2 linked regions of the Drosophila melanogaster genome follow. The protein of the gene in region 1 purifies or fractionates together with the protein of each later gene. This does not show direct contact. Each region holds a gene or a part of one and is shown on either strand. Other genes may lie near its edges.

Region 1 (3,095 bases):
AGAGACCACGCCGATGGTCGAGCACCTCAGATGTACGCAATCCGCAGTCGGGTGGACCCTCCAGCTGCCAGACGGACAGCTTTGGCGAGGATGAACTGGTCCTAAACTTTGAGGAATCATACCGCTCGGCCAACAACATGATGAGGAAACGGACGGCGGATAACATAAATGTGGTGCAATCTAATCTAATACGCCGCAATAGCTACATGGACATGACCCGGTCCATATTCGAGTTGTAGATCCGCCGATCAATGTCTTTATATATGTTTTTTTCAATTTAAAATTTAAGCTTAAGAGCTCGGAGAGAAAATGAATGCAATTACTTTGTAATCTGAAAAATAAAATTCAACGTTTTTAAAGTTTCTTAGAATACTCGTAGTATTTGTTAATAGTTTAATGGTCAGTAGGATCATATTCATTTTAAGTATATTTTGCATTAGTATTCAGTACAACCCACCGGACTTTGCTGTATATTAGCCAATTTTTTTTTAAAGTAGAAAAGACCTTATAAGCAATAAAATATCTATGCAGGTATTGGACATTTTTTATTAAATGTTGCTACTATTTGACCCATTAGTAGGCGATTCCAGTCCTTTGATGGATCCAATCCAGTGCGCTGGTGATCCTAGCAAATCCAGCGGGCAATCCCAAGGTGCACCCGTTGGAGGCCACAAATGCGGAAATGCCCACCACGGTGGAATCCTGTTTGGTGATCAGGGGGCTGCCGGCATCGCCAAAGCAAGTGGATCTGCCGCTGGGCGTACGGGTGCACAGGATCTGATCGGAGACGGTGGTGGATCCGTAGAAGGCGATACACTCGTTATTGGACATTATCTGAAGGTCGACGCATTGCAGCGCATCGGTGAGTCCATTGCTGAAGGTGGTCACTCCCCATCCACAGACATTTGCCCACCAGTTCTCGTAGCGCTGGGATCGATTTCTCAGTGATGGAAGGGCCACCCGGTTGACCCGGTTGCTGAATCCGACTCGAGGAACTCGAACCAGGGCGAGATGTTGATTACCCGTAACGTACTCACTAGTTCCCACTGTCACCGTAAACTGGGCCTGACTCAGCCGGGTGGCTCCAAAGTAGATGGTCACTCCGGAACTGCCCGTTAGACACTGAGCGGATGTAAGGATCCAGGTGTCGCCTATAATAGTGCCACTGCACCAGATGTTGCTCTGTCCAAAGGCCATGCCCACCACATAGGGTGCCTGACCTTCATAAGCGGGGCTTCCATTGGTTATAATGTGATCAGGATCCTCGGAATCCTTCTTAGCACTTCCTGCTGCGACGAGAGTGAGACCCAAGAAAACTACCAATAGCTTCATGATTTCAAGCGAAGGTTGTTACTGCCTAGTTAAACTGACGAGTTTATATAGATATTCACTGGGTAATTAGCGAACATTAGTGAAATTTCTTTGATTATCTTGAGGGGCGTTACTCATTTAAGTTATAATTATTTAAGTAAATTGCCATTAGTGGCATCATATTAGTTCGGCAAAACTTGTTATCTCAAATAATATATAGTAAATTATTTGAACACCCATTTCAACGAACATTTACTCAACTTTAAAATTGTTATTTTTGGTATACAGTGTAAATAAGCTTTCTAAAAATCATGGAGCAGAAGACAACAAAATCTTCAAGCATTACCCAGGTTGATATTCTGTTGACTGGATCCAGATACGTTGGTCCCAGTGATGAGTTGGGCATGCAGGAGATGGGTGTCTACATTTATCCGGATGGGACATGCTACACGGGAGAGTTTCTCAACAATCGTTTCCACGGAAAAGGCACCATACAAATTCCTGATTCCTTGGGCGTTACCTATCAAGTAACCCATCACAATGGCAGACTGGTCTCGATCGATCAGGTTAACTTCAATGATAGTCTGCCCGTCGACTTTGAGATGAAGGATCATTACACGATGAGTTTCAAACCCTGGACGTATTGCACGCCGGAGGATCGCCGATTCTACCAGGAAACCAAGGAGCCTATGGATGCCGTCGGTCCGAATAAGTTCCAGTCCAAGGACGGACCAAATCCGCTCAACCTGGGTCGCAATATTTTCGATCTGGGCTTCGGACTGCTGGGCAATCGTGGCTTCATGTTGGATACAAAGACGTTTAGCAACCAGAGTATATATCTAGGATGTCGGGAGGCTCGTCGCTGGATCCGAGAGAACTGTGCCCATGGACCACTCAGCAAGCGTCACCACAAACAGAAGTTATTGGCCCGTTTTGCCCGTGAGATCATCCGGAACAATCAGGAGAATGCAGGCTGCAGCCAAAGGGAGTTCATGACCAAAATCCATCCTTGTAAGCACTCCACCAGCTTGGATAGCTTCGCTTCGGAGCGTCTCCATCTGGCCAGCACTACGGATTCCACGACGTCGGAGGCTCAGGCCATGGGTTTGCGTCATGAGGAGTTCCATGGCAATTGGACAAGAGCGAAGAGCGAGAGCAGCGTGTGTCGCATCAACTGATTGATCCTTTGAATTTTTTGTTACTTTCGCTTCTACTTTTCGATGTGGCCTTAAATTAATATATTGTAAATCGTTGGTTGACCCACATTCTGTGACCAACGCCTCCATGTTAGGAGCTCTAGATTTATGGCCAAGTCGCGAAAACTGCAGGCGAACATGGAAATCCACTTAGGCCTAAAGGTGTGTGCTTTCCTTTTCTTTTTCTTTTTTACTAGGTCATCGGGTCCATGGCGGCATTGAACCTTTGGCTCAAATGTTACCTTAAACCTGGAAAATTGTAAACATTTAGGCCTAGGCCACCGGCACAGCGGGTAATGAACCCATAATCGCCGAACATTATTGCTACACGTGCACGGGGGCGTAAAGATAAATTTGATGTTAATTAAAGCCGGCCGAGAAATCCATTTAATTAAAAGGAACGAAAGTGAAATCAGAGAAAGTGAAAGGCAAAACACAGAGAACACAGTGGAGAGCGCCAAAACATATATTTCAATAGTGGGCGCTCCCCCAGAAAAGCACACAAGCTAACACACACACACCGGAAAATGGGGGAAACAGGCAAGAGGATAAAGTCCGGGAAAAACCTAGAATTTCGCGATTTTCTTT
Region 2 (3,753 bases), 3.8 Mb from region 1:
ACGCACAACAACACCGTCATCAATGACTCCCTACTGGCAGAGGTATCAAAGCTGACGGCCACTGCTGCCCAGAATTCGACCGCCAGCTCGCCACTAATTTCGCCCAAACGCATATATGCCAAGATCAAGAAGATGGACATACCACGACAGCGGGACGAGTTCCTGCTTTGGTACCGTTCTTATTTGGAGCAGCTGTTTGTGGTGGAACAGCCGCAGGATAGCTGCAAGACCAAGTCGAAGGTGACACCTTCTGGAGCCAGTCCGGCCAAGCTGAAGAACCAGCGTGTGCGCAAACAGTCCCAATCCCAGTCGCAGGACTCGAATAACGATGCAGACTTGGCCGAGGCGGACCAAAAGAACGTCTCCTCCGCGGGAAATGGCGAACTGGAGTGCGAGAACAACGAAAATCCCGACGAGGAGGCAGATGGACAGGCTGCAGCGGAGCCTTCCGGCGCAGAAAAACAGGACGTCAGTCTCGAATAGACTAGAGAATAACCCAACAAAGCAAACATTCCTTATTTAAGAAGTCATCATCTGTACGGATATTTCATATTTCATTTACGAATTTCGGAAAAGATAAATCTTTTATGGTCGTGTCCTTAGTCGTAGTTCGCAACTCATTTTGGGTATCAGTTTTTTATTTAACACTAAATTATGTAACAATAATATATATAAATACACTGAAAACAAGAAGGGTTTTGAATTCACCTAACAATCCCTGAGAATAAATACTTCTCCGGATTCTATTAGCCACTCCTTGCGGACGTCATCTGCTCCAGCATGCGGTAGTAGCAGTACCGGCTATCGTAGTCCAGATCGTACCAGAAGTTCACGGCGATGCACTTGTGGCTTTGGGACACATGGTGGAACCAGTAGTTGGGCAGGTATAGGATGTCTCCCGCGTGAACACGTACTTTCAGAGGCTTGGCCCGGGCGTACTCCGGATATTTGGCCAGGTCGGGTGACAAGGGATCAACGCTGACCCATTCTGTGAACTGATCGCTGCCTTCCTCATCCCTCAACGGTTCAATGTAGAACTGACCACTATCTGAGGTCTTGTAAACGCCTGTAGGGTAAATTCCTCGCGGTACGCAGCTAAGCTGGTGCGGCGGGATGAGAACGAAGTCCTTGTGACCGGATATCACGCAGTACACGTTCTCGTATGGATCCTTGTGCATGGAGGTAACGGCGCGCTCGTCGCCCAGCCAAAAGTTAACAGCATCAGGCGGTTTGTTAAAGGACTGCTGCGCAAAGTCGAGATCACTGACCCGCAGATCAGCAGCCAGTTCCGGTAGGTCCACACTGAGGTTAGAGTTCTGCTTTTGTATGTAGTGGACAGCACCAGTGGGATCATCCAGGCGGCGGACCACCTCGGACAGCTTCATTTTCGTCTCCAGCGGCAAAACGAAGTACTCCTGTCCATTTTGAGTGGCCAAGCCGTCGGCATAGCCATTCGGGGTGATTGCCACATCCACGCTCCTGTCCCCGAGAGCCTCGATCAGGTACTTTGGCGTCCATTTGCCAATCGCGGGCCAATTGAGTGCCTTGCGAATGACCACCGGCTGGTTTTTGGAGTAGAATTCCCGACAAAACTCCAAGGCGGTTGGAATCCTGTCCAGCTCCACTACGCTGCTCCCGATGCACAGCTCCTCCGCTTCCTGGAGCAGAACATCCAGAGCTCTTTCGACCTCGGACATGCCGGTAAACAACACGCACTAACGCATTTTCCGCTAGAGTGGACCTTATCAGCGCAGTGTAATGTGGGGTTCTGGTTTTCAGTGAAAGTTAAACTGAAGTGCTGCAGTGAATTTAATTAGTTTCACCAAATGACGTATTAAATAAATAATATATTATACACAAATTAAATTGAAACATTTATTATTGTAATTTTTGTTACGTTTTTAAAGTAAGTAAGCAAGGTATTCCGAAAAAATCGATAAGGGTCAAATTCGCGTCGGTGAAATGCAAAAATGCTAAGAAAAGAAAGATCTTACTATCTATCTTATAGAGGTTGTCTAGCGTGCATTTTGATTTTGATTTTGCTTTTAATAATTAATTTGAATTTGGTGGTATAGAAATATAAGTGGTATTTTCTGAAACTGCAATGGTGTTGAGAACTGTGGTATTTATTTGCAAGTCGCTTGGTATTTTCCAGCGCTTTCGGCGCGGTCCCACTGGACGCGAGTGTGTTTGCGAGTGCGGGACTTTCAAGACGCGCGCGAAGCTGCGGACAGTCGGATAGGAAGTGGAGCGGACTGGAATGCAAACAAGACGACGCGTGTCGAGTGTTTGTGATAGAAACAAATTGTTTTCGAATACGGTCGGTGCTCTATTTGTTTTGTGAAATACAATTGATTTCACCAGCGACTCAGAGGAGGATCAGGGTCGTCACCTCTTTTGCATGCCCGACATTCGCGCGGATTCGAAGTTCAGCTGGTGCGATTCGAGCAACAGGTGGCGGATGACGGATGGATGGATGGGTGGCTAAATGGATCGTGTCGATGGGCCACGGGATTTGGCGAAATTTGGTGCTGATAGACTTATAGACTGACATAGGCCCGGCATTATTATTTGTGGCCAAAAGGGGTCAGGCGGTGTGCGCGTGAGGAAATTGAATTGACTTGGTGGCCACCGGCGGCGGTCCGAAATCGAAATCTGTGTCGCAAATGTGGCACTAATAAATTATCGCACATTCGCGCGCCGCACAGCGAGTGCTTCATTAATGCAGGAATCGCAAATGACGGAGAATATCTAGTTTTGCAGCGGCACTGCGTTTGTTTCATTTTGCCAGGAGAACGTGACCAAACTTTCCAAGTGCCGCGTGAATTGGATCTACCCAGCCAATAGGTCTTAATAGAGCTAACAATTATTTTTGGTAGCCACGCTTCGCGAAGCTGGGCGCAAACAAAAAAGAACGCAAACTCCGTGGCCTATAAATATCGGTCTTCGGAATTACTAAATCCAATTGCAGTCCAATTAGCAGTCGGACGCCAATGAAGCGGCTGTGAAAGAGTAAGTACGATGCTCTTTTGAAGCAAATACTTGCAAACGTCGAAGTTTACACACCCTAACGATTAAAGAATGTTTAACTTAACTGAAACATAAAAAATTATGCTTAAATAAATAAATTGATGTCTTAATTTGCCAATCAGACTCTGTGACTCTAAACACACAGTTCCAATCAGACAAATTTTCAAATCTAATCTGCTTAAAAATAAACCAAAGTGATTGATAGAGTCTTATGTTGATAGCTATTTAACTGATATAGGCTATAATAGACACTTCCGGTGAAAGTTCCCTTCAATGCATTACAAACCATAGACTGCAGCGCATATACCCTCCAAAAAAAGAGAATCAAAATCAACAAACGCCAACAGTGCGTATGACAGTTCTTACGCAATTAAAATACCATCACTGGCTGTAAGATTTACATAAATTCGGCCTGCGAAACTGAAAACTGATAAGCGTCATAAAAAAAAAATGAGGGGCAGCAACAACAATTGGTGTGTGAACCGAAACCCGAAAGCCGAAAAGCCAGTTGGGGAAACAATGCCAAACTCGCACAGAGCAATGCATTTTTCCACAATTTATTTAAATTTCGCACAGTTGTTGCTGCTGCATGGCAAGCCCCGAAATGAGTCAGTCGCGTGGCGCTGCACTCGCAGTTGCACTCGCACTTGCATTCGCTGCATGCCAGCGCGTACTTCTTTGTGGCGACAGAGGCTGCGCCGTCATAAGCACTGTCAAATTGCG

Evidence for each region. Proteins that work in one complex are often made in the same cells at the same time.
Region 2: the proteins of CG3088 (region 1) and JMJD7 purify together in Drosophila melanogaster (affinity purification with mass spectrometry, with the first as the bait; one large-scale study listed by BioGRID). This does not show direct contact.

What each region holds. Positions count from the first base shown.
Region 1 is NT_037436.4:9,599,974-9,603,068, forward strand, and holds CG3088 (uncharacterized protein), read right to left. Parts: upstream 1,353-3,095; 5' UTR 1,333-1,352; coding exon 574-1,332; 3' UTR 517-573; downstream 1-516. Other genes in the region: CG3222 (uncharacterized protein), read left to right, coding at 1-239; CG3306 (uncharacterized protein), read left to right, coding at 1,623-2,489.
Region 2 is NT_037436.4:13,448,563-13,452,315, forward strand, and holds JMJD7 (jumonji domain containing 7), read right to left. Parts: upstream 1,722-3,753; 5' UTR 1,698-1,721; coding exon 747-1,697; 3' UTR 625-746; downstream 1-624. Other genes in the region: cmb (combover), read left to right, coding at 1-483. UniProt on the Drosophila melanogaster protein: Bifunctional enzyme that acts both as an endopeptidase and 2-oxoglutarate-dependent monooxygenase.